7 linked regions of the Neurospora crassa OR74A genome follow. The protein of the gene in region 4 binds, or shares a complex with, the protein of the main gene of each other region. Links are inferred from orthologs where the notes say so. Each region holds a gene or a part of one and is shown on either strand. Other genes may lie near its edges. The genes, in order: NCU07549, NCU00952, NCU07852, NCU01474, NCU08299, NCU17114 and NCU04068.

What was found.
Region 1: NCU01474 (region 4) and NCU07549 share a complex: the UniProt entries of both Saccharomyces cerevisiae proteins name them as parts of the mitochondrial large ribosomal subunit. The link is inferred for Neurospora crassa OR74A from reciprocal best matches to the Saccharomyces cerevisiae genes YML6 and MRPL51.
Region 2: NCU01474 (region 4) and NCU00952 share a complex: the UniProt entries of both Saccharomyces cerevisiae proteins name them as parts of the mitochondrial large ribosomal subunit. The link is inferred for Neurospora crassa OR74A from reciprocal best matches to the Saccharomyces cerevisiae genes YML6 and MRPL44.
Region 3: NCU01474 (region 4) and NCU07852 share a complex: the UniProt entries of both Saccharomyces cerevisiae proteins name them as parts of the mitochondrial large ribosomal subunit. The link is inferred for Neurospora crassa OR74A from reciprocal best matches to the Saccharomyces cerevisiae genes YML6 and MRPL23.
Region 5: NCU01474 (region 4) and NCU08299 share a complex: the UniProt entries of both Saccharomyces cerevisiae proteins name them as parts of the mitochondrial large ribosomal subunit. The link is inferred for Neurospora crassa OR74A from reciprocal best matches to the Saccharomyces cerevisiae genes YML6 and MRPL3.
Region 6: NCU01474 (region 4) and NCU17114 share a complex: the UniProt entries of both Saccharomyces cerevisiae proteins name them as parts of the mitochondrial large ribosomal subunit. The link is inferred for Neurospora crassa OR74A from reciprocal best matches to the Saccharomyces cerevisiae genes YML6 and MRPL39.
Region 7: NCU01474 (region 4) and NCU04068 share a complex: the UniProt entries of both Saccharomyces cerevisiae proteins name them as parts of the mitochondrial large ribosomal subunit. The link is inferred for Neurospora crassa OR74A from reciprocal best matches to the Saccharomyces cerevisiae genes YML6 and MRPL6.

What each region holds. Positions count from the first base shown.
Region 1 is NC_026503.1:4,406,055-4,409,154, reverse strand, and holds NCU07549 (mitochondrial 54S ribosomal protein MRPL51), read left to right. Parts: upstream 1-1,164; 5' UTR 1,165-1,345; coding exon 1,346-1,387; intron 1,388-1,471; coding exon 1,472-1,554; intron 1,555-1,856; coding exon 1,857-2,148; 3' UTR 2,149-2,600; downstream 2,601-3,100. Other genes in the region: NCU07548 (hypothetical protein), read right to left, coding at 1-83, 170-297, 404-665; NCU07550 (triosephosphate isomerase), read right to left, coding at 2,685-2,713, 2,777-3,100. UniProt on the Saccharomyces cerevisiae protein: Component of the mitochondrial ribosome (mitoribosome), a dedicated translation machinery responsible for the synthesis of mitochondrial genome-encoded proteins, including at least some of the essential transmembrane subunits of the mitochondrial respiratory chain.
Region 2 is NC_026501.1:6,595,290-6,598,525, reverse strand, and holds NCU00952 (mitochondrial 54S ribosomal protein YmL44), read right to left. Parts: upstream 1,823-3,236; 5' UTR 1,529-1,822; coding exon 1,348-1,528; intron 1,183-1,347; coding exon 1,067-1,182; 3' UTR 501-1,066; downstream 1-500. Other genes in the region: NCU00951 (inorganic pyrophosphatase), read left to right, coding at 1-179; NCU00953 (hypothetical protein), read left to right, coding at 2,475-2,824, 2,926-3,236. UniProt on the Saccharomyces cerevisiae protein: Component of the mitochondrial ribosome (mitoribosome), a dedicated translation machinery responsible for the synthesis of mitochondrial genome-encoded proteins, including at least some of the essential transmembrane subunits of the mitochondrial respiratory chain.
Region 3 is NC_026503.1:1,107,879-1,111,319, forward strand, and holds NCU07852 (mitochondrial 54S ribosomal protein YmL23), read left to right. Parts: upstream 1-1,302; 5' UTR 1,303-1,630; coding exon 1,631-1,651; intron 1,652-1,795; coding exon 1,796-2,326; 3' UTR 2,327-2,941; downstream 2,942-3,441. Other genes in the region: NCU07851 (superoxide dismutase 1 copper chaperone), read right to left, coding at 1-290, 452-643; NCU07853 (uricase), read right to left, coding at 3,164-3,270, 3,355-3,441. UniProt on the Saccharomyces cerevisiae protein: Component of the mitochondrial ribosome (mitoribosome), a dedicated translation machinery responsible for the synthesis of mitochondrial genome-encoded proteins, including at least some of the essential transmembrane subunits of the mitochondrial respiratory chain.
Region 4 is NC_026505.1:4,618,903-4,622,683, reverse strand, and holds NCU01474 (60S ribosomal protein L4), read left to right. Parts: upstream 1-1,425; 5' UTR 1,426-1,817; coding exon 1,818-1,898; intron 1,899-1,977; coding exon 1,978-2,946; 3' UTR 2,947-3,281; downstream 3,282-3,781. Other genes in the region: NCU01473 (mitochondrial large ribosomal subunit YmL35), read right to left, coding at 1-503, 587-1,151. UniProt on the Saccharomyces cerevisiae protein: Component of the mitochondrial ribosome (mitoribosome), a dedicated translation machinery responsible for the synthesis of mitochondrial genome-encoded proteins, including at least some of the essential transmembrane subunits of the mitochondrial respiratory chain.
Region 5 is NC_026504.1:2,488,204-2,492,403, forward strand, and holds NCU08299 (mitochondrial 54S ribosomal protein YmL3), read left to right. Parts: upstream 1-1,400; 5' UTR 1,401-1,690; coding exon 1,691-3,010; 3' UTR 3,011-3,789; downstream 3,790-4,200. Other genes in the region: NCU08300 (uncharacterized protein), read right to left, coding at 322-391, 506-688, 797-816, 901-903. UniProt on the Saccharomyces cerevisiae protein: Component of the mitochondrial ribosome (mitoribosome), a dedicated translation machinery responsible for the synthesis of mitochondrial genome-encoded proteins, including at least some of the essential transmembrane subunits of the mitochondrial respiratory chain.
Region 6 is NC_026506.1:2,292,549-2,295,923, forward strand, and holds NCU17114 (hypothetical protein), read left to right. Parts: upstream 1-1,346; 5' UTR 1,347-1,635; coding exon 1,636-1,648; intron 1,649-1,779; coding exon 1,780-1,896; intron 1,897-2,319; coding exon 2,320-2,369; 3' UTR 2,370-2,875; downstream 2,876-3,375. Other genes in the region: ala (alanine aminotransferase), read right to left, coding at 147-264; NCU03974 (hypothetical protein), read right to left, coding at 3,185-3,375. UniProt on the Saccharomyces cerevisiae protein: Component of the mitochondrial ribosome (mitoribosome), a dedicated translation machinery responsible for the synthesis of mitochondrial genome-encoded proteins, including at least some of the essential transmembrane subunits of the mitochondrial respiratory chain.
Region 7 is NC_026506.1:2,634,704-2,638,695, forward strand, and holds the start of NCU04068 (mitochondrial 54S ribosomal protein YmL16), read left to right. Parts: upstream 1-1,192; 5' UTR 1,193-1,377; coding exon 1,378-1,663; intron 1,664-1,881; coding exon 1,882-1,995; intron 1,996-2,086; coding exon 2,087-2,454; 3' UTR 2,455-2,605; coding exon of another isoform or gene 2,606-3,892; 3' UTR 3,893-3,992. Other genes in the region: NCU04067 (hypothetical protein), read right to left, coding at 1-131, 190-283; NCU04069 (3'-phosphoadenosine 5'-phosphatase), read right to left, coding at 2,606-3,892. UniProt on the Saccharomyces cerevisiae protein: Component of the mitochondrial ribosome (mitoribosome), a dedicated translation machinery responsible for the synthesis of mitochondrial genome-encoded proteins, including at least some of the essential transmembrane subunits of the mitochondrial respiratory chain.

The sequences.
Region 1 (3,100 bases), on a different chromosome or scaffold from region 4:
AAAACGACAAAAGCATAGCCACGATGGGGCTTTTTCTTCTTGTTTGGGTTCTCATCGGCGTGGGTATCTCTGATGATACGGATCTGTTTTTTGGTGTCAGTTCTTGTCAATTAACACACACATAGCTGTGAAATCATGATATAGGAGGAGGGGGGGTTTGCAAACTCACACGCTCGATAGGACCGTAGCGGCTAAACTCGCGCTCGAGATCCTGTTCATCAGCACGGTAGTCAAGACGCGCTACTATCAACGTCTTGAAAGCATCTCCTCTGATGTTGGGATCGTCATTAGGGTTGTCTACAGATAAACGCCATCGGTTAGCAAGCCGCACGACAGCAAGATCATGATCAAGTAAAGGAGTAGCGAGCACAACTGCGCGTAACGTTGGGGGTTTGCCGCGTACAATTCTTGGGACCCTCGGTCAACAGCTTCTCCAAAGCTTCCTTCTTCTCGCGCTTCTTGCGGTCGCGCGCCTCCAGCCAGCTCTCGGTGGGATGGTACTCGTATTCTTGCTCGTAGGCCTGCATGGCAGGAAGGAAGTCGGCAACGGGGGTGATGAAGGCCGACTTGCGCTCTTCGGGAGCAACATCGCAGGGCGGCACCCAGCGCAGAGGTGGCCGGGGCGCAAAGAGTGCGAGGAGGTTAGGCGGGAGCCGGTCTGTCATTGTCGCTTCACGTTGTCGCTGTTGTAGCTGGTCAAGTGGTGTTTTTTTGTTGATCTTATCTGTCGTCGAATTATGAAATCGATATGTCGGAAACCAGGAAATGTAGGTCGTCTGGCGTTTGATCCACTGTTCGGAAAGCCGGGCGAGAACAGTTCAATAAGGCTGAACGCTGTTACTGTTTGCCAATTCTTGTGATGGCGATAATGTGGTGTTGTCGGTTTGCGAGAAAGGTCAAACCCGCATTTTCGCGACTTTGCTTGGACAGCTGAAGACGAGAGACAGAGGGTGGGAGGCGGGAGCAGCAAAGGGCCCTGTCTGGTGTTGTGTCGTCCACTGCCTGGCAGCCTCGCAGCGACTGGAGCTCTTGCTGGGCAGCTTTCTCGCGCGCTCGACCACCGAACGACTGAGTGCGAAAGAGGGACCGTGCACCCTTAGGTCGTCTTCGTTATCACTACGCACACACCCAAGGAGGAGTGCAATCGCGTGAAATTGATTCTGCCAACCGCTTTTGCAGTTGGGCGGGTCCCCCACCCCCAGTGCCGTGCCGGCGCGCGACGGGGCGGGAGTCTGGCAGAAGTTCAAGTCGCACCCGCCCTCCGGATCATGAACCCTGGTGGACTCGGACTTGTTGCAAGGCGAGGACGGCGGCGAAGAAGAAGAAGAAGAAGAGCATCACAACAATGACGGTAAAAGCATTGACGCAGATCTCCTCTGCCGGCCGTGTAAGTTAGACCGCAGCCTGAGCAACTAAAAACTTTAATTTTCAGAAAAAAAAGAATGCTAATCGTTGATTGTTTTGTATCTAGAATGGCGTCGGCGCATTCGTCTTGCAGTGCAAGAAGTTGGACATCCACTACAGTGACTGGGCCGGCAGCTCCCGGGGCATGAAGTACGTTTAGGATTCTTCGAATATGGACATCGCAACCTCATTCCCGATCGAACATCTTTCACATATACCAATACCTCTACACGTCCAACCAAACCGACATCCTCCCAAGATCTCGAGACCATCCCGCCGTCCCCGACCATCCATCCATCCATCCATCCACCACTACATACCCTTTTTCTCGTCCCTCCTCGTCCCTCCTCGTCCCTCCTCGTCCCTCCTCGTCCCTCCTTATCCCTCCAGTCTCCCTTCGCGACCTCAGCAGACAGACTCTTTCACTAACACTTACTTCTTCCTCCATCTAGCGGCTTCATCAAATCCCTCCTCCCCAAATTCGCCGCCGCCAACCCGCAAATCGAGTTCGTCGTCTCTCCCCGGCCCGCCAAGCACCCGATCCTCATGGGCCACTACATCAACGGGCGCACCAAGGCCATTTGCGTGCGCAACATGGAGCCGCTCGAGATCCTCAAGAAGGCCGAGCTCCTCCGCGACGCGAGCGGCGAGAAGCCCCAGAAGTTCAAGAAGCCCGTCACCAGCACGAACCCCAGTGTCAGAGGTGTCTGGTCGCCTTACCATGGGCAGGGTATGGCTGTATAAAGCGGAAAAAGGGGGAGGAGCAGGTGCTGGTGCTGGTGCTGGAATGGACTGGATCGGTGCTGGGCTGGATTTGGTGCTCGGCCGGTGTTGGCTCGGTTCAGTACCAGGTGGATTGTATATACCATGTTGAATGTATGAATATGAATTGAGGACATGAAAAGGGTTTCTGGATGTATCAAGGGTTTCGGTTTGGCTATATGGTTGTGATCAAGTCCTTCCAGAGCTATCGAGTTCCCATGATGAGTTGCCCCAGTTCCAAAGAATCTGACATTATCTTCTGGTGCTTGGTGGTTGACTGTTGATATTGGAACTTGGGATGAACATCTAAGAGCGAATGGAGGAGCCGCGGAGTTGCGGTATCTGGTGTCACAGAAGTCATGAACGGGCTACATGAAGCGAAACTACGTTCTTCAATCCCAAATCGAACAAAATCAGGACATTTAACTATTTTATATTTTCGCCGTGTCCTCAACACCATTTCCCAGCCTATATGATTGCGGCTGTAGCAAAGCTATAACTTTTTATGGGCAAGTAATTTACAGGTTGGCGTTGATGATGTCCACGACTGCATCATATCATGTTAGCCATCTTTCTTCCTCTCGTTGCAACAATGGCAGGTAGTACTTACACTCGGGCTTCAAGCTGGCACCGCCAACAAGGAAACCGTCAATGTCCTGCTCCTTGGCAAGGTCCTTGCAGTTCTTGGCGTTGACAGAGCCACCGTAGAGGATGCGGGTCTCCTCAGCAACCTTGTCGCTGACGTTCTGCTTGAGCCAGCTGCGGATGGCGGCGTGCACCTCCTGGGCCTGCTCCTTGGTGGCGACGAGGCCGGTGCCAATGGCCCAGATGGGCTCGTACGCGATAACGACGTTCTTCCAGTCGTTGATCTCCTTGGCGAGAGCGGCGAGCTGGTTCTCGACGAACTTGATGGTCTCGCCGGCCTGGCGCGTGT
Region 2 (3,236 bases), on a different chromosome or scaffold from region 4:
TCATCACCGGCAAGACTGCCCCTGGCGGTGTCTCCACCACCAACGTCACTGTCCAGCACTCCAGCAGCCGTGTTGCCCCTGACCAGCTTCCTCCCCTCCCTCCCAACGAGAATCTCCCCCCTGCCCCTATCGATAGCTCCATCGACAAGTGGTTCTTCATCAGCGGTGCTTCCGCTTAGAGAGTTCGTTTGTTGAGGTAGAATAAAGATAATTTATTGGCACTTTGTTGTATTGGTCAATTCGTCGTGAACAATCCTCCATGGTGTTACCCTCATGCGTTGTTTTGCGTAGAGTCGAACGTCTTTGCAACAAGGTATGCGCGGTCAGAGATTGGCCATTTCTGAGGCTGTAGTCCATGCCGTGGGATAGGGACTTGTCGAGGAGATGCTCGACATTCTTGCGCCATGAGTTTCGCCGTTGAAATATACCGATACCGTTGATGAATTCCCCATCGAAGGAAACACGGTCGCCAAAACAAAAACAAAAAAAAAAAAAAAGGCCGATCTCAACTTTGACTTTGTCAAAATGGGCGTACCGTGATGTGTGTGAATCAATCCATGGCAGAGGTGCTATATACGCATGTCTATAACAACAGGTACCCAAACTGCCTTGCCAACTGAAAATCGCCGGCCCCTTAACGCCTCCCAATGCTGTTGGTGTACACTTACAACCTCTTGCCCAATACAAATACAGGTTCATATCTTTTGTTGTTGTTTTCTTCTTTTTGGCTGGTAAGGCGATCTTACAGATCTCTCAGAGAGGTCGTCAGGTATCCGGCTCCAAGCTCGCTGGCTTTACCCAGGTGATTCGAATGTGCCTTTAGATATCCAGACTTTTCCTCTTCTCCTCCCGGTCAATCGTCATTTTGGTACCACGGACCAAAGCCAAGTAGTCTGGGTATCAAGACAAGATGGGCTTTCGTCGCTCTTCCCGTGGCTTTTCCCTCCTTTTTCCTAGTCTCAGTCTCCCTCGTTTTACCCGCAAAGTTCGATTGGTGGATCAAAACACAACAAGGGCGTCTCGAGATTGCTGGGTTTTGAAGAAGAAAAGAAAGACAGAGATTCGGTTAACCGTCGTTCAAGTCGGCCTGCTTCTGAAGGATACGAGAGTGGCGATCCACCTCCTCGACAATGCTTTTGATGCCCATGTTCTCAACGTCGAGGTTCATTTCCTTGCCGTCCTCTGTTTTTTTTCAAATACGTTAGACTACGGCTTGATTCACAGCTAACGACTCTTGATTGCCTTCCAGCCGGAATGATCCAAATTGCAACAACCAACTGCAACGGCGGTCCGTCGATGTGTGACAGAGTTGCAAGTGACAAGAAGAGAGACATTGGGAAAACGTACTGAACTTGACGTAGAGCAAAGGAGTCTCGGTGGAATTCCGCGGCAGAAGCTGGGTGGTGATGTTCATGCCATTGGAGCGGGCGTTGGGAGGGAGGAAGGAGAGGAAGAGCCGGGCGGCCTTGGCCTTGGCCGAGAAAGGGTTGAAGCGCGTTGATACGTCGGTGATGAAGCGGGTGAGCATGTTGGGCGAGGTCTCTCGGGTGGTGGTGGTGGTGACCTGAGGTCGTGTTGGGGTTGGGTTCGGGGAGGAAGAAGAAGAAGAAGAAGAAGCAGGAGGAACGCGGAGGCCTGACTGCGACTTTGCGAATTTGCGACGACGGGACTGCACTGCACACCGGACGGGGACGGATACGGAGACGCGGGAGACGGGAGACGGGTCTCTGTGGAGGATCGGACGGGGTACGTAGCTTGTGTGTCGCGATTTGGACTTCGATTCGGTCTTCGTGCCTGGCGCCGGCCGGCAGCGTGGAGGAGGGATGCGATCAAAAATTACTGGAGGTACGTACCGATTGCGCCGGGGACCGGGAGGGGTGTTTTTTGTAAAACGGAGAATGCGGGACGGCGCGTGCTACGTGTGAGAGATGGGCTGTGATTGGTTGGGAGCCAACTGGGATCAAACGGTGTCAGGCTCGATTTTGCATTCATATTTACACTACATCAGATCAATTGACATAATACATCTTTTTAATCTTCTGAACGGGAAGAGAATCACTTCTGGCCTTCTATTACATTGTGTTAGTCTGTAGCCCTGAGTGTGTAAGTTTGTGCTTTGTTCCTTCAGCGCAACAGTACGTACTCCCATTTGCCCCAGCGAGTTGTAACTTGAACTCCGTTACCGAATTCCGCATGTGATCCGTTTTCATTGACCTTGAGGATGACGTTGCAAGAGCCACGCCCACCGAGAACTTCCATTGAACATCGCTACAGTGCTCTCCTTTCAGGCCAGGTTTCCACTAATTATCAACAACAGCACAGCTGCTGATCAACACCAGGTACCTAAGTGGGATCCGACTACGATCCATGGAAACCATTTGTTACACATCCACCTTTTTCCAACACATATCTATCTACCTTTACCGAGTCAACTCCCTACGAATGCAATACCGACATAATACAACAAGTCACTAATGTCAACATTCGAAACGCTTCAAGAGCGGCTCACGGCCCTCCAAGAGACGACCGGCCAGCTTAAGGACCTCATCGAGCGTCTCGCCACGCTCAAATTCGAGCCCGGTTCCGTTCCTTTGAGCAACAGCATCAGCAGTCTCGCGAACACTGGCGCCGATGGAACCACCAACAGTGAGGCCGCTGACTTGAGCGCCGAAATCAGCCAGGTCTTGCGCGAGGAGGAGGAGGATTTGGAGTTGCTGCAGGAGGAGATTATCGACTTGCGCTCCGGCCGCCCAGGGAGTGAGGCGGAACATCAAAAGACGAGGTTAAAGGAGGGCGCGCAACGCTTGGCTGCCGAGCTTAAGGGGTGAGTTTTGTTTCTCATCTTTTCAGCCTGGATGGTGATGACGATGATGAAGATGAAGATAAACAACGTACCTAACAAAATTGCGTCTCAAAAAAATACAGCTGTCGAACCTCCTTCCGCAAAGCCCAACTCGCGGCGCGCCGCAACCTTGAAACCGCCCAGCGCCTCGAGCGCCAGCTCCTCTTAGCCTCCTACGTTGCCGTCGCCGCCAACCTCGCCGCATCAGACCGCGGATCAGGCGCCTCAACACCCGTATCTACTGCTGCTGCCCCCAGCGGTGGTGCTCAACCAACCTCGTCGACGACGTCTCCACCCCCTCTCTCAACCCCCGCCGCCGCCGCTTCGTCAGATGCTCCTCCTCTCGACCCCCGCCAAGCCCTCTTCGGCAACCGCCGTCGCAAACAGCACCAAA
Region 3 (3,441 bases), on a different chromosome or scaffold from region 4:
ATGCGGTCCGAGGCTCCCGGGGCGGGCGTGATCTTGTCTAGGGTGGGCTTGTGGTAAGTCTCGAGGATGCTGACGGCCGCGCCTTGAGAGTCGCCGGAACCGCGCAGGATGGCGTCACGGCCCGTGGACTGGATGGCGTTGACGATGGCGGAAGGCGCGGCCGTGCCTTCTATCGTGAGCAGCTGGTCCTTCAGGTTGGCCTCCACTTTGTTGATTCCGGGGAGCTTGTAGAGTGCACCGGAGACGTCGTTCACGCAGCTTTCGCAGTGCATGGGCACGGCGAAGAGAGTCTGTGAAATGAGTTAGTATGATGTGCCTCTGGAAGTATGTCAAGGTGAGTCAGATATGTGAGACAGGCTTGGACCCTTTATCTAAAGAAAAGGAAGGGCTTGGACCGAAGCTCATATGTAGGCATATATGAAAATGAGGCTGTAAAAGGGTATAAACAAACCTTGAAGGGGGTTGTGATGGAAGCCATGTTGCCGGCTATCTTCGGGATTGATGATTTGGGAGCAGCCGGGGATGACTGTGACTGAAAATAGTTCCTATGTTGTTGGCGTTGTTGCCAAAGGTATGCGCCTCCAAAACCTGCTAAAGCTAGACTAGAAATACTTAGGATTTGTCTGGCCGTGTACGGTGGCATCGGTTTCAGGCACTAAGAGGTAGCAAAGACAATACTGAGGACAGTATAGAAGTGGTGGTGTGAGAAGCAACACCAACGTGAGACGATGGATTTGTATAGAAGGCGATGGAGGAGAGCCCCACGTTCGGCGAAGGAGGGGACGACTAGGTACAATTAATAACGTTTTGGCTCCAGTCTACGGATGCTTAAGAGACGGGGTAAATGCGACTCTTGTGCTGAGATTCCTCATTGTTTCTCGACAAGAGAGTGCATGAAGTCACCTCACTGGAGTGCGAAATGTCGTTTTCCCATCTTCACTGTAAGACGGCAGGAAGGTAGATGTCGGCCTGCCAAAATGTTGATTTCAAAGCGACGGCACCTTTCTGGGACCACTTTTTGCGGGCGACCAACTGGGGCTCCGCTGTGTCCGGCTCCTCGATCGGCCCAAGCCAGGGCAATCCTGCTCCCCGAAAGCGTGTGATATGTACCGGGAAAGGAAGTGCAGGCTTTGGTACATGGGACATCAGTAAAAGAGAGCTCTAAGTGCGCCGAGTTGGTGTTTGTTAGTGCTTTCCTCAATTACACACTAAGACTTGCGGACCACCGTAGCCACCCCGCCAACCGCCAGCGGGCCGTCGTGCCCCAATCGTACGTGGAAATTTTCCGGCAAGAAAAGTGATTGCAGCTTTTGGGCTTGGCAGGCTCTGCTGCTGCCCTTCTGCAGGAGCTCCATTCTGCTTCCCGTGATACCGGACCACATTTGATACCCGTTCGCCGCGACAAGCCCCGGACTTTCTCGCGCCTGCCGAACCCGCCGTCTCGAACACTCCGGAGCCCGCCCGATCCCGTGTCATTCAATTGACCCGGACGATAACACATAGAGGTTCACTTACCACCAGTCGATGAGGGACTCGTTCCCACTGGTTTTCATACCTGCCTTCTCCACCTTAATCCTCTCTTGAACACCATAGTATACGACCTACATCACCACCGCGCAACACCGTCAACATGTCGCAAACAGTCGGAGCTGTAAGTTTCTTCCTGTTCGGACACAACTGTCCCATAATTTCGTCGTGTTTCTTACAATTTTGGCACTTGCTCGCCCTCCCGCCACCACCACCACCACCTCCACCACCCGTCACTAACCACCGCCGTCTTGCGACGAACGTGTAGACCCGACTAGCCTACTCCCGTGTCTGGCACCACATCTCCGCCGTCACCCCTCACCCCACCCTCTCGACCATCAAGGCTCCTTCCGAGGCCATCACTCCCCCTTCTCTCGGTCGCCTCGCCTCGCGCATTGCCACCATCCTGATGGGCAAGCACAAGCCGATCTGGGATCCCTCCACCGACTGCGGCGACTACGTCGTGGTGACCAACTGCGCGGGTTTGTACACGACGGGCCACAAGAAGTGGCGCAAGACGTACTACCGCCACAACACCCGGCCCGGTTCGCTACAGGCCATCACCATGGATGCGCTGATGGAGAAGCACGGCGGCGCCGAGGTGCTGCGCAAGGCCGTCAGCGGCATGCTTCCCAAGAACAGGCTGCGCGACAAGAGACTGGCGAGGCTCAAGGCGTTTGAGGGTGATGCGCACCCGTACAAGGAGAACTTGGTGCGATTTGGCGGTAAGGTGGTGGGCGCTCCAGGTTGGGAGGAGGCTGTCAAGGCTATCCGGGAGGCGGACATGGAGAGGTTATGAGCGACCATGGCTTTGAGGTGTGAAGGTCTGGTTGAAGGCGCTGGAGCTGGCTATCTACTCATGGAAGAGTGTCAGAGAAACGGGAGAGAAAGAGATGTAGGGACGAATCTACATCGAGCCGTTACGAACCATCTAGCCGACGAAGACTGAGAACTCTGTCAACTGTGAGGAAGATTGTGTGGACAACCACCTCGTTGGGGCGAGAAATCTCTCTCGTGTGTTCTTGTGTCTGTTACAGCCCACTTGGCCGTGTGATTCACGGGCAATGCCGCCAGTGTCAGTCTGTATATTACATGGGAAGCCGGTTCATGAGCCCAGCGCGCAACGGACAGTGTACGAACTTGGGTTAGAAAAAGGGGGCCTCTCATTGTACAAATATATCACTCAACAAGATACCATGATTACGACTCATGAGAGCTGTTTAGACTCATTGATTGTTTGATCTGATAAGCGATGAGCAGATCCTCATGTCCAACACGCTGAAGGCCCGCGAAGGCAAAAAGTCAGCCTCACCGATTTCACGGCATATTTTTTCACTTGGTAATTCGAGAGTGCAGCTAGCAGTGCTTTTCGGATGCTTGCTTGTTCATAATAGGAAGTTTATTTGATTACCCCTGAAAATTAGCGCCAGTCAAGATGTCCATAGCCTCCGTCTCATGATGATCCGTTGCATCAAGGTATCATCATCTTTCCACCTTCAAAACGTACGCCTGCCCGCCAACCAACCCCTCGGAACGTGAGGGGGAATGCAAAAAAAAAGAAGAAAAAAAAATGGTGATATCATAAAAGAAAGCCAAAGAAACATGTGTGACGTTTTAAAAACAAAGTTCAACAGTCTTACGAGCGAGAGACCTCGCATTTGATGAGACCGTTGGGACCAGACTGGGGAGCGTACACCTCGGCGTCCTTGCCGGTGTTCTGGAGGCCCTTGTGCCAACTGAGATCTGTTTTTTTTTTTTGGGTGTTAGTGTAAATTTATCTGGACCTATTTTTTTTTTTTTTGGTGGATTTGCGAAAGGGGTACTCACCAACTTCAAAGTAGTGCTTGTTGGGTAGCGAATAGTTGGTCTTCTCCGTCTCGGGTACCGCATCCAAGATCTGCTCGCACATCTTGT
Region 4 (3,781 bases):
GCCGTCGATCTTGGCACCGGGCTTTTGCTCAAGCACGAAGACGTTGAGGCGGTGGTAGGGCGAACCCTTTTGCGCGAAGGGGGGAAGCCAGGGCTTGCCGACGTCGCCCTCGACGCGGTCGCCGACGCTGCGCAGGGAGAGAACCGTCTTCGACGGGTCCCATGGGATGTTGGCCGCCAGGAAGTGGCAGCGACGCTTGAAGTTGTCGTGCGTGACGTCGGGAACGTCCGAGTCGATGACGACGACAGTGAGGAGGCGCTCGCCCTTGTCGAAGACTTGCATGCGAAGTGTGGGTGCAACCTCGGTCACGCGCGAGTCGAGGATGGCTCCCGGGGAAACCTGGTAGCCACGGAAGGAAAGCTTGACGTCCATGGTCGGGTCGAAGGCGGGCAGAAGGTCGGGAACGACGTGGAACTGCGAGATACGCTGCGCAATGATTTTGTAGTCCATGGAACGCCAGCGGCGCTCGGCCATGAAACGGTAGACGGGCTTGGTCATGTCACCTGGAGGCAGAGAAACGTGTTCGTTAGACTGAGACTTGCGAAGCGGAGTAAACGTCATAAGAAAAGGAAAGGAAAATACAAACCTCTGCCATCCTCGAAACGCCTCTTCACTTCGGGGTCGTTGATGTCGGCCAGAATCTTGAGCTCCTCAATATACTTCCTCAAGCTCTTGATCCGTGTCTGCTTGGCGGCCTCGCCGCCCTCGAACTCGCTGGCATCCCGCGCCTCGATCAGCTTGATCTTCTCCGTCTCCTTGACAATCTGGGCGATTTTGGCCGCGCGGTCCTGCTGCAGGATCTTGCGCGCATCCTGGAAACACTGGTACGGCAGCTGCTCGAAGGGGAGGTTGCCGGTGGTGGCCAGGGCGGCCCTTCTCCTTCGCGACCCAAGCTCTGGACCTCCGACTACTGTGTCTGCTACTGTCGCCTTAGCCTCGGTTGCCGAAGGAAGGGGTGGTGGTGTTGTGGTGGAGTCGACAGGAGAGGTGGTGGTGGTGGTGGTGGCGCCCTCCTCTTTGCGCATCGGGGTCGAGGAGAAGGGCCTAACGGCGGCAACGGCGACGGACCGGGTCGAACATGTCGCAGCGCCGGGGCCGGTTTGCCGGAGACAGCGGACGAGTGGCCGCGCGACCTGCTGACACGTCGACATGGCGGGTGGGAATGTGTGCAGGCGGGCCGGAGGGGAGAGTATTGGAAGTGCGGGATCGCTCTCAATCGAGAGGAGCTGCACTCAAGGTTTCGTCGACGGGGAGGACGGGGTCAAGGACGGGACAGGGACGGGACGGAGGGTTCGTTGGTCCTTCAATTCGTTCCATGCTGCAGCCCACCTGCCCGGACTCGAACTGCGGCCAAAATTTCGTGGACCCCGGGGCCGGCAGCACAGTGCGCTCATTGGAAGTACTTATAGTGGGGGTTGCAGAGTAGCGGGCGTGCCCCGCGAGAAAGCTCGCCAGAAACGGGTACTCGATGGCTGCAGCGCACTGTACGTGCACGTTGCCCGCACTCCAGATCTTTTTTCTCCAGACTCCGTCCAGTCCCCTCGTCGGCCGAATCGTTGCGACTTGACTGGGAGGACCGGCGCCCGCGACGACCACCGCATATCCCGTCAGAGCCCCCGTCTCGGTCCCGTTCCGTTGTCCCTCCCTCGCCCCGAAGCGCGCTCCACGTTTCCGTCCGCACAGGCCCGTGGTTGCTAGTCTCTCTTTTCCTCCCGCGAACAACTGCCTCGAGCACCACCATATCATACCTGACCTCCACTACATCCGAGTTGCATTAACTTGTAACTCCCGTCACCTTGCCATATCACAACGCCGCCATGGCCGGCAAGGGTCTCAAGAGCCTCAACGAGGCCATGAATGCGCTGAGCATTGCTTCCAAGTCATGCAGGGCACTGCCGGTTTGTCCTCCATATGTCCACCGTCTTGCTACTGACCCGCCTACGACTTTCGCTCACCAGTACAAACCATGTCCACTAGATGCGCCAATCCTCTATTCTTCCCTGCAGACGGTCGATGGCCTCCGTAGCCACCCCTCCTGCCGCCAATATCACAAGATCGGTCTCGGAACCATGGCAACCCAGTATGAGCACCAACACGACTGCCAACCTCGACAACATCGCCCGCGCTGGAAAGGTACTAACCCACGATTCAGTCACCAACGTTCCTGTGACCGTCTATTCCTTCCCCGAACTCGAGCCGCGCTCCCTCGAATCCTACTCAGCCCGTCACCTTCACCTCCCGCTGCGTCGCGATATCCTCCACTTGGCCGTCATCTACGAAGGTGACTCGACACGACGGGGCATGGCGTCTACAAAGACACGCTACGAAGTTCATGGTTCGCACAAGAAGATGAGTCCCCAGAAGGGTACCGGTAACGCCCGTCGTGGTACCCGCCAGTCACCTCTGATGAAAGGTGGTGGAAAGACCTTCGGCCCCAAGCCCCGCGACTTCAGCACGAAGCTTAACAAGAAGGTCTACGATTTGGCCTGGCGCACCGCGCTGTCCTACCGCTACAAGCGCGGCGAGCTCATCGTCACCGAGGACGGCCTCGACCTCCCCCTTCCCAACGATTTCCTCTGGCTTGCCGGCGGCGGTAAGCTCAGCCGTGAGCTTGAGGACGGCTACGTCCGCAAGTGGGTTCACGAGTTCATGACCAGCTTGAACTGGGGCAAGGAGGCTGGCCGGACGACCTTTATCACGGGCGACAAGCGCCCCAACCTCTTCACTGGATTCGAGTTGGCCGGTGCCGAGGGTCGCGCTTTGGAGTTGTGGGATGTCGATGTCAAGGATCTTTTGGAGACGGGCAGGATAGTGATTGAGCGCAGCGCGCTCAAGGAGATGATCGAGGACCACCAAAGCGACCTCGTCACCCGTGTAGCAGTCCAAGGGCTCCGCCAAAAGGGTCCCAATCTGGGTGAGGTGCTCGTCAGGGCGCCGAGATACTAGACAGGGAAGAAGATGGAGAAGAAGCAGCAGCAGCAGAAGTGAATGTGTGTGTGCAACCACCGGCAACACTCTTGTACCATATGAATCGCGCAAGGAGGGCGGACTGAAGAAGACGGTTTGTCCAGCACGATGAGTGTAATATTCATGTTCCTTTGTACGGTGTACCTACACGAGTTTCCCTTGTTATTCGGAAGCAATTGGCTTGCCTTGTTCCCTCTCTGCATTGTGATAATAAGCGAGAACTGTGTAAAAGCCAAGGGGTTAAGTAGAACGGTATAGTAGTCTGTGACTGTGACACAGTTATGCGCAACTAAAATGTCATTTCTTGGAGTGAAGTTGCAGTGTTTCATTCACCACTCACTACTGCTGGCAATGCCTGGGCAGCCTTGCCGGTATGACCCCTTTGCCAACAGGAACTGCAGTGAAGTGAACAACTGAAGATGGAAAGAGGACGAGATGGAAGTTGCAGCCAACAGCCAACAGCCGACTGCCTGAACAGCTTGGCAGTCCCGCCTCAGCCCGCTGCCGGCCCGCCATGGAATTCCTCCCGGAATTTGCACTGGTGCACGGACCAAGGCTCGGGACCTCCCCGCGCCTATTTAACCAAGCCAACCCTTCCCCCAATCTTCAACTTTCCTTCTCCTTTTTTTTTTCCTCCATCCAAGTGCAGGGGTTTTACGCGTATCAGTGAGGATTCGTCCGAGATCGCGTTTTTGCTAGTTGAAAACTACATACCTGACCGCTCTCAGTTGGCTTCGGCTGGCTGGGGAATTTTTGGCAACCCACAATCCTTTCTCGGACTGGAGATTTCTTCATTTTTTTCTTCATCTTTCAA
Region 5 (4,200 bases), on a different chromosome or scaffold from region 4:
GGAAGGTGGGCTCTTCTCTGTGAGTTCACTAGTATTCGCCAATAGTACGAAACGGTAAGAATAGAGGTAGTTTCCTCTATAATCCATTACAGAACTGATCCACATCAAAGTTAGCTTTATTCACGACGTAGCCAGGCTCTGGAGCACCAACGCAAGACGGCCAGCGGAGGGTAACCGACGTTGAATGTATTCCGAATATTGCATTACTACCACCAACCGGCCGGCCTCAACCAAGCCAAGATGTCCTGTTATTCCATCAAGCCTTTGGAAGCCATGTACTGTATGACCAAACGGCCGGGGTGGCAGGGCCTATGCCCAAATTTACTTTTTCTCCTGTGTCGTCCCGTTCTCCTTTTGCGCCCGCTCATACTCGATAATCTGTCTGCTCCAGCTAGTGGAGGTAATATCGGTTGCGTCAGCTTAAGAACATCCCCGCGGTCTGCGCTCGCGGAAAACGTTACGCATGTATAAAAATTTGGATGGGGGTCTGTCTGCCAGGACATACTATCTGCTGGGATAAAAGCGACCAGGCTCGGGCATCTTGTGACGGTACTCTTTCTCGGCGCTAAGCTTCCAGACTGCGGCAGTGATGAGGAAGACGACGCCACCGAGAACAGCCGTGTTCTTCTTCCAGTTGGCCGGCTGGGCGTACCAACCACCCGAAGGCGACCAGACGTGTTTGGGGTAGCTGGAGTGAAGGGCGAGGCAACGATTAGGACGGATCCATGACACAACGCAGGCTGGGTTGGACAGAATGCGCGGAGGGTTTGCGCATGTCGAGGGCGATGAAACTCACGGAACTTGGGGACCGCCGCCCTATAGACAGGAAAAATAGAGAGTTAGCAGACACAAAACATAGTAGTGATGATGGCTATTCTAAGCAATCGGGTGGATACGCACCATTGTGATGAAGTTTTGGGATATGTGGTGAGGTAGGTTGGACGTTCAACGAGGAATGATTCTTTCCACCTCGCAGTTAAGCAAGATCGGTTTGTACTGTCAACTTTGCGATGCACTGCGAACGACGGCACAATAGTGGTGATGCTTCAGCGGGAACAATTGGATAGAAGGACGAATGATGAATCCGCCTACAGGCTGACGAGGGGCTAAATCGCATCAACCATCCAGGCCTGAAAGTCACCATGTCACTCGTCCTAACTGGGGCCGAGGGCGCATGCGACAGACGGGCGGCGGGCGGCGGGCGGGCAGCTCCCGCTTGTCCACCACAGTGCACCGTATGCTAAACAGACAGCGCAGATAGTGGATTGGGGTCGAAGATGGATCTTGTGGGGACCCTCACTGGGCCAACAACGAATCATGTCAGCCGGCTTTTATGTCTCGGTCTTGGGGGAGTAACCCCTGCGCTTGAGCACTGATTCACGGCTCTGGGTGGTGGGCTTGTCTAGTGTACGGGTGGTGAGCGTTCAGATTGGAGAACTTTTTTTTTCTACCCGTGTTCGACGGCCGGCCGAGTCTGAACGAGAACCCATCCGATCAACGCGCGACTCCGACCGGGATCCCGAGTAGCTTCCCACCCCGCGACCACCGGCTCACCACCTGCCCGTCCGATTTCCCTCACTCCATCCTTTTCTTGGCAGGGCCTCCAGACGGCGCACACTTACGGAACCTGGGCCCCAGCACGTCAACACCCGGTTGTCGAGCCGACCATCACCCATCAAATATATCGCCCATGAAGAGGATAGCAACGCCCAGCTTGACGAGCCGGCTGCTCGTCGCCGCTCGCTCCGGAGTGTCGCCCGCCACTGCCGCCATCCGATCCCGATCTGCAATCTCGGTGCGATCGCAATCGACAGCTGCCCTCGCTCAGCACGATGCATCCCACGATCTCAACAATGATCGGTTCCCCCCGCTTGAGCCCCTCCCCCCCGCGGCCGAGTCCCTACCGTCGCCCCTCCCCGAACGGGCCTTGACCTCGGCCAAACTGGCCGCCCTCCACGCCCGTTTGAATCTTTCTCCCAAGATCCCCTTACAGACATTGGCAAGGACACTGGTCGACGCCTCGGCCGACGAGAACCCGCAGTTCAACAACGCCAACCTCGCCTTCGTTGGCCAGACCCTCATCAACTACCATATTGCCGAATGGCTCCTCTGCAAATACCCCCGTCTACCCCAGGGAATTCTCTTCAGTGCCATGAAGGCTTATGCCGGACCGAAGCCCTTGCTCCAGATTGCGCGGTCATGGGGTGTTGATACCGCCGCGGTGCCCGGCGGCGAGGTGGATCCCGGTCTTCTGCAGTTCGATGCCCTTAAGCCCGGCGTCGCCATCACAAATTTCGGCTACAAGCGTACAGAGCTCGCCTACCTCGAGAAGTTCAAGTGGCGTCGCGGTATGGCCTCGCGTGTCGTTCTCGACGACGACTTTGGTGATGTCGTGCGCAGCGACCCCAAGGTTGCCGCCGATCTGGAGAAGGCGATGGAAGAGCAGGATCAGGACAAGACTCCCGACGAGGAGGAGGCCGAGATGGTCGCTAATGAGCAGGACCAGGACGTGAGCTACGACCGCTACGGCAACCCCGACACCCGGGCCGCTGCTGAGCGGGCCCACGCCTACTTTGTGCGCGCCGTCGTCGGTGCCATCTACGCCCACTGCGGCCGCGAGGCCGCCAAGGCCTTTGTCAAGGCGCACATCATGTCGCGCACCCTCGACATTGCCAAGCTCTTCGAATTCAAGTACCCCACCCGCGAGCTCGCCGCGCTCTGCGCCCGTGAGGATTTCGAGCCCCCCGTGGCTCGTCTCCTCTCCGAGACGGGTCGCCAGTCGCGCACCCCCGTTTTTGTTGTCGGTATATACAGCGGCAGCGACAAGCTCGGCGAGGGCGCCGCCTCCTCTCTCGACCACGCCCGCTTCAAGGCCGCCATGAACGCCCTGAAGGCTTGGTATCTCTACAGCCCTGGCGAGAACCCTCGGGTACCCAGTGATATGCTGGAGGAGGGTGCCAAGCCCTGGACGCCAGCATACATTGATATGGGTGAGGTTATCTCCCGCTAAATGAGGAGGCTGAAACACGGAGCATGGCGGCGGACAGTACGGCAGGGCAGTAGAGAACTTAGGAAGTGTATGAAACGAAAGGTAAAAAGAGAGTCGCAGATGGCCTGCTTACACTCTCGGTTTTATTGGTTGTGCGGCCCATCAACTCGGGATAGGTTCCCCTTGTGGAAATCGACGCAAGAGGATCGAGAGGGAAACAAAACAACGAGTGGATTTTGTTGGTGTGGTCTAAAAGCTCAGCTTACCTTTCCACTCTTGTCCTGTCCTGTTGAGAGCGGGCAATTTCCGTCCTGCGAAGGAAGGGGATATTAAATGGATGGTCCTCTCCCATCCAGTCACTCCCTTTCCTTCCATTGTTTCTTGCTCTTTTTGCCAAAGACGAGATGTTGTATACAGATTTGCGCGCAACGGACATACATGTACACACACGCACACCCCCGCCACATATACCAATACAAAGGGGGGTTGGGACGGAACGGGGAATGAAGAGGGTCTGGATGGTGGCTGCTTGGCTCTGCTTTCGACAAAGAGAGACACAACCCTCGTCGGGGTGGCATCTGTGTCCTTCTTTCTCAGTGTATAATACCAAAAAAGTAGCCGAGGCCAGGGAGAAGGAAGATCATCGTCTGTATGTGTAGCATTAAGAAGTCAAATTTTTTACGAGGCATCAACGAAGTACATGACATGATAAATCCTTCCTCTACGTATTGACTGCTCTGGCATGAGGAGAAGGCTGTGTAAGAGAGAATATGGTACTACGCAATTTACACGCATTGTACAATTCCAGGATGTGTAAGCCCTTGTTTTGTATAACAAGCATCGTAAAGGAAGAAATGGGAATACGCAACCGGCAAGAGTAAAAGACCGGACGACGAGATCGAGCCTGGAAGTTCCTCCCAAGCTTGCGCGCCTTCCATTCATCCAAACTAGAGGTTGTTTAGTATCTATTTTGCCTTGTGCTTTCTTCACATTGCTCTTGTTTATCTTATACGTGAGAGGAAGATGAAGTTGGTGAGAGGGGAGATGAAATGTGGACTGTTCTCTCTGTAGTTGCGTCCTCACTTTCTCACCCCCTCCTGGTACTTTGTCACGACGTTTCCAAAAACACGTTCATCAGAACTTGCGACCTGATGCAAAGGGATCAATGAAGGAGACTTTGACAACTATAGAATTGGCATATTGTTAAGGTA
Region 6 (3,375 bases), on a different chromosome or scaffold from region 4:
AAAGAAAGTTGGGGAAGTTCGGGACAAGAGGAAGCAACGGTACGTTCGGGAAGGTGAAAGCGACGCAATAAAGCACATCGATCCGCGTCGGTCGGACGAGAAACTCGCGCCGCTTTGGCGAATGGCAAGGGTTTGGTGATCCTTACCTCCGCATGTCGCCGGACCCCACGCCGACTGCTGAACAGGGATTGAATAATTTCTCACGGCCGCGCTCGGCAGCCGGTGACGGGCGGTCTTGAGGGCGTTTGACAGTCCGGCAGCCATCGATGCGATTGTCGATCTCTTTCTGATGAAGTGTACGTATTGATGGATGAGGGGAGGAGGGTCTCGATACTGCCGGGTGGGGGGGGACAGGACTCCCGGAGATGCCGTCAAAGGTGAACGGGAGAAGAACTTGTCGTTGATGGTGCGCTGACTCGCTCCGAGAGTACCGAGAGGACGGGATGTGATTTAGGGCTGAGTCCAGTTTATGTCAGTTGGGTTGGGTTTTCAAACCGCATTCGACACAGCAGACGCAAAGACACTATGAATGGGGGGGGGGGGGGGGGGGGGGAAAGATAGCACGCAGAAGAACACACGAACTTTTTTTTTTTTTTCTTTTTTTCATCAAATGTAGCAACCCAAACTGAACTAATGAGCTCCGAAACAGGAGCACGGAAAGCGGTGTGGTCTAGAACTTTTTGTTACAAAAGAGTCTTCGTTCCGGTCCGGTTTTGCTCCCGCGATCCATTTCTGGCGGGGTCGCAGAGGTCCGAATCGAGACTACAGTCTTGGTACAGTATGGAGAGTCAATCAAACAAATGCCATATTCTGATTCGGACTGCTATCCGCCAGACGAGGCGGTATCGCTGAGCTGTTTCGTAGCCGCCAAGATAAGCTGCTGCTGTGCTGTGCTGCCTGACAAGCCAACGTTAAATCCGGGCCGTTGTATTCTACCTCTAGAGGTAGCTGCGGCATGTGTAGGACCAGTGGACTATATCTAGTATCCAGGAACTATCCTTTTCGTCGACTTACACAGTTCCCTTCCAGCGCCTTGTTGGCGGGACGGGCATGATTACAGCCACAGTGCTGTCAACGGTCACCATGTTGAAATTACGGTACACAAATATCAAATTTATGTTCTTGAATACATCTCTCTCAGTGTACAAGCCCAGCAAAGGTGTTGATGTTGTCAATAAATTTGTGTGAGATGTTCTGATAGATATCACGCCCGTTGTGTTTTGGCCAAGGCCTCTGGGGTTCCTCGGTGAGCTCTCAGCTCACTACACTCAGCTTGTTCCTCACCTTGCCTTCACCGATCCTACAAGTACACTAAACCGCGGGCAGCCACCTGCCAAGCCCAGCTAGGAGCGCACACGACCCACCCACAGCCCCACCACGGCCCACGCACCCCCGGCGGGCCGGCAGGCAAAATCTACAATCGCAATCGCAAGAAGCGCGGACGACCCGACGTCGATTGGAGAGCTTCCGGCGCAAAGACCGTGCTCCGTGAATCCGCCCGCCCTCCGCCCGCAGTTTGCGAACCTCTCCGTCCGGACGAGCCCCAGCCCGTCGCCCGTCGCCGTACCGCACTTGATCCAGTCCAGTCCAGGCGCGCCGTTGCACACCACAACAGCGCAACAAAAGTCGTTCAACATGGCGAAGAAGGGTAATCGACTCCATCCTCACCCGTGTGTCTGCAATTACTGCTTTGTTTTCCTAAAGGGAAAAGCGATGCAATGGGGAAACCGGAAACCGAAAACAGAAGACGATAGTTGCTGATAGGTAAACAACAAACAGCCAAGTCCCGCATCATTAACGTGCGCCTGATCTCAATGGCCATGACGGGTTATTTCTACACCTTCACCCGTCCCCGTACCTCGCTGCCTATGAGCATGCTGAAATACGATCCGATCGGTATGCGCATATCCTCTCCCCTCATTCCTATCTACCTCTTTCGCTTCCAACCACCTACATGATTGATTCGGCGGACACGACGACACGGGCATGATATGGAACTCTTTTTGGTTGCGGGCTTTCTCGATTTGCACGATTCGAAACACCCCAATACGCTTCGTCGAACGGACCTTGGGAAGCTCGCTTGGGACTGGGACTAGGACTGGGATCAGGCTGGGACGCAACAGTTCAAAGACTCGGACGATGGCATAACGTACGGACCTTCGAGAAAAGAAAAAAAAAAAAGCAACCAGCCAACCAACCGGCCAACAGAGAAGAGAGGAGGGGACGGAAGAAACACTTGCCTACGACAGACAATTTTTCCCAATCACGGATCTCGAAGAGGAAGGAATACCTACTAACCCTTTCGCCTCTCCACCATAGTTCGCCGCAAGGTCCTCTTCCTCGAACAGAAACGCAAGGGCAGGTCATAGATCGTTACTCGCCCCCGGGCCTAACGACCGTCGAACGACCGAGAGCCAGAGCGAGAACGCGGAGCCTGCGATACGGAATCAAAGAGCGTAGCGGCGAAGCAGCGACAAGTAAAAAGCTACAGCACCCCCTCCACGGATTACCACGTCACACCAAGTTACGATTTCGACCGGGTTGTGTTTCAAGCAGATCACCAGCAGACAATGGCCAGTGCTGGCGAGTGAGTTGGAGCTGGAGCTGGAGAGGGGGGTGGACCGGACCGGAACTGGACTGGATATATGGAGAAGAGAGGCGCAAGAATAAGATGGGGTCCCTCGTTCCATCCAGTCTCTGGTCGTGTATTATTACTGTACCACCGATCCATCAGTATATAACATCACCCTGTGAGTTATGGATTGGCACCATGGAGCGTTTGTTGCTTCTTCGCTCTACCGATGGGCCAGGTTGATTAGAGAATGTACAAGTCAAGAGATAAGCACAACGCCCCTCGGCCGTCGGCAATGCTGGGCGTGACCCAGGTTCACTGCCAAGTGGCTCTCCCTTCTCTTGTGTTGTGTGGTAAGGATAACTCTTCTATCGCGATCAGACAGTCTGTCATGACACCTCGACATCTTTGACTTTTCTTGCCATCGTACATCGCTTTATCTCATCTTTCTATATTTTCGTGGAAATCAAACTTTTCATTAGTCACAAGACCCGTCTCCCAACATTTTACAGGCGTTCTTTCACACTCTTCTCGTCGTATACATATTGAATCTCAATTCATTCGAAACACAGTCTCCAATCCACACAAATACGCCATGCATCGACATATGGATCATAACTTATTCCCAGGCGGAGGCAGAGGCAAGTCATCTCCGTCTTCTTTGTTTGCATTCTGCGAGAGGGTCATGGAGTCTTGGGTCTCATCATTGGCGCCCCCGTATCGCGAAAGTGGCTGGGACTGAGACCGTGATTGGGACTCGCCGTTCGTTTGACTGACCGAGTTGGTGTTTTCCGCAGGATCAA
Region 7 (3,992 bases), on a different chromosome or scaffold from region 4:
ATGGCAAAACGGTTCTGATTCGAGTTCTTGAAGTTCACTTAGGGCGACGGCGTAGATATTTGGTAGGCGTGAGGACGCTCGAAGCAGATCCGAAGGCTGGATGTTGCGGTCGATGTTGACTTGATGGTCGGCTGTGTTGCGGTCATATTATTAGTCAAGCCCTGCAGGCAGTGCTCTGATATTACTTACGAACTGCCACTTTTCTTTCACCTCCCCACGAAAAGGCCAGAGAAGGTGTAGCTGTAACGGCACAGAGAGCCGTGAAGAGAAGCTTCCTGGCCATAGTTGTCATGTAAGTGCAATGCGACAGGCTGATGATGATATACTGATAAAGTCAGATGCGTCCAGAAGAGTGCCGTCGAAGGGACTTCGGCAGTAAGAAATGGAGATTCTGGCAATATTGGTAGTGCAATTTTGGCGATCGAAGTTTGTGGCCATGCAACTGAAAATTCTGTGGTGTTTTTGAAGAGAAGGAGCGATTCAAGAGAGGGAAGGAAGGAAGGTGTATGAGGGTAAGTTGGCGATCGCGACTGCCCAGGATAAGAGAAGCGGACTTGAATTTAGCGGGACAAGAATCACAGGATTGTGAAACCGCGAAAAGGTTTCGTGTGAAATGACTTCACTTGAAGTTCGCATCGAATATGACTGTGATTGTCTGCCGAGCTCGACTTTTGCTGGTTCTTAATCGTCTGATGTGACGCTGTCCTCTCCAACAGAAGCGAGCCTAGACAAAGATTTGGGCTGTAGACCACTTGTCTTGACATCACTGGAATCTGCATCTTTTCATCCGGTATCGAGAAAGTGCAAACAGCTCGCTTGAGACAGTTTGGAAGACTTCGACCGTGACGGGTGTTCTGGGTGGTGATGACTATCGTGAGGTTGGCATCCGTAAAGTCGTCATCGGAAAGCTGGACGATTGTCGAACGGGAGATTAATTCAACATTCAATCTGAATATTGTGAAACAATATGTTCCATCGAGTAAACTCTACACTTCCACGCCCTGTGCCATTTTCTTTTTGAAGATTTCTTACTCGAGATGAATGATGTCGGATGGAATAACATCTGTTGGTGTTCGTCGTTGTTTCTTAGCCCAAGCGAATAGCAGCAGCGAGACTATGCGGATACGACCCTAACCCTGTTGTATTTACAGCCAATCACTAGCTGCATTGCTGTGCCGCGTCAGGTCCGATACATTTTTTGGAGCTCTCCGAAGATCCACTCGGTTCATCCCACCACCCGGCCGGCTTGCCATTGACTCGGTGCTGCCCTTGCGACTGCCAGAACCTCCGAACTGGAGCGCCGCGTCTCTTCGCCAATTCCGGTTCCGCATCGTGACGACGGCCACCACCCTGCCGACGACGACGACACTCACCACGATGTTCGCCCCAAGCCGAAGGAGGGTCCTTGAGGCCGTTGCCTCTTCCTCATCTTCTCCCGTCGTCACACTCCCCGGCTTCCTGGTGCCCGCCTTCCAACAGACTGCCGGTGCCGCCGCCCGGCGCAACTTTTCCGCGACGACAACCCGCCCGTCCAAGCTCGGCCGCACCCCGCTCAGTATCCCTCCTGGCGTCGAGATCACCATTGGCGAGCCCTTCGTCAAGCGCGACATGACGCAGTGGAAGCAGCAGCCTAAGCGCAAGATTACGGTGCAGGGCCCGTTGGGTTAGTTTGTTCTATTGTAAAATCGACTTGGCAAAAGGACCAGATGGGTGTTTTATTTGAGGATACGCAACGAAACTGGAGCGGGCGCAACAGATGGGCTGGGAGAGGCCCGAGAGAGAACGTTGTTTATGGGTGTTTGCGCGAGAGTGCAAAGGGGACTAGGATGGGAGCAGAGCAGCTGGCTGACTTGTTGCACGTGTGCGTGTGCTTTTTCACAGGACAACTCGAGATGGACATTCCCGACTTCATCAAGATCGACCACGACGCCGAGGCAAGGAGAGCGACCCTCAGCGTAGCGAACCGGGACGAGAAGGAGCAGAGAGAGATGTGGGGTATGGCAAACACCTTCCTTGTCTTGGAGAATGTGGAAAGTTACGGGCGGCCAGTCAGCTGACGATTTCGAATCTTTCTTGGACAAAACAGGAACAACATGGGCGTACCTCAACCGCTTCATTATGGGTGTATCAGAAGGTCACACGGCCGTGTTGCGTTTGGTCGGTATCGGTTACAGAGCTACAATCGACACCCGCCCCGAGAAGGAGGAATACCCCGGCCAGCAGTTCGTCTGCCTCAAGCTCGGTTTCTCCCACCCCGTCGAGATGGGCGTTCCCAAGGGCATGAAGGCCAGCACGCCGCAGCCGACAAGAATCCTGCTTGAGGGCATCAACAGAGAGCAGGTCATGACCTTCGCCGCTGATATCAGGAGGTGGCGTGTACCGGAACCCTACAAGGGTAAGGGTATCTTTGTCAACGGCGAGACCATCAAGTTGAAGCAGAAGAAGATCAAATAGAGGACGCGCGGTGGGTTTTGGTGGCTGATATGGTTGTTGATGAGGATAAGGGGGGAATATTGTACATTTAGTCTATTATTTTTTTTGGCACACACATGGCCTCATAACGGCCCGATACCTGCCATAACCTGTACACTATGACACCGAGGCTTTACTGCTGCCCGAGAACTTCCTGAACGACCTTGATGACCTGGTCGTGGACCGCAGCAGGCGCCGCAATGACACCCTTGTTTTCAGCCAACGTGCGGCCGACGCTGAAATCCAGGCGGTTTCCACTCACGTCGGTAACCTGACCACCAGCCTCACGCACAATCAGATCTCCAGCAGCGTGATCCCAGATCTTCTCCTGGTAAGACTTGGAAGTAGGCAGACGGAGGTAGATATCACCCGCGCCGCGAGCAATAGAGCCGTACTTGGCCTGGGAATCCATGCGCACACTAGGCTTGGTGATCCCGAGCTTCTGCGCAATCTGTCCAGCCACGCCCTGATCCGAGTGACCCGCCTCCACGCTCTCGCAGAAGCTGGCGTTGGACATCTCTGTAATAGGCTTCATCGCAATGGACTTGCCCTCCGCAAGACCGGCGGTGCCCAGGGGTCTGCTAGTCGCGCCTTGGCCCTGAACGGCCGAGAAGATGACACCCCGGCCCTCATCGGTCGCATTGGTGCCGATATCCGCAGCCAACGGCGCAGCGTCGTCCACAGGCAGGTTCGGGCAACCGAGAACACCGACCTTGACGTCACCGTCCACCATCAGTCCCAAGCACACGGCATACTGTCCACCGCGCAGGAAGCCCTTGGTGCCGTCGATGGGGTCGATAGTCCATATCCTGCCCTTGGCGCCGCCCTTGCTGTTGCCCTGGTCGATGATCTCCAGCATCGCGTCGGCATCCTTGATGGCGCCGCCAAGGAGTTGCTCGGCAGCCTCATCGTCAAGCTTGGTGGACTTGACGAGCTCCCAGATCTGGTCCCGCAGGGGGGTGTCCTCGCGCAGCTGAGCGGCCTCCTCCTCAGCCACAATCTCGTCCGAAGGAAAGTTGGCCTTGAGGGCGCTGATGATGAGCGCCTGAGCGCCAAAGTCGCCAATGGTCACAGGGGACTTGTCGTCCTTGGAAACGGTGCCCTTGGCCTTCTCGTGGAAGACGCGCTTGGTGAGGCGGGCGGCCCGCTGGACGGCGAGCTGAGCTACCTCGAGCTCCTTTGCGTACTGGGAAGAGGCCATCTTCTGTGTAGATGTAGTTGTAATGGTTGAGCGGCTGGTTGCTGTGATTGTGTTGGCACTGCCAGTCAAATGGCTCGCAATGAGGGAAAGCCGGGGAAAGGAGATGCGGGAACTGAAGATAGCCAGGATGAGGACGATGAGGGAGAAAACGAAGAGAATTTTGGAGTAGAAAGTATGGGACGATGCCTTTTTCTGCTGTTTGATCTTATCCACAGTCATACAGCCGCGAGAGGATCGATAAACCTCGGGGAATTTTCAATCCGTAACCGGAATACGTATTCAGTCCAAGTTGTTGAGTGGTTGAACTTGGGATTCTGGC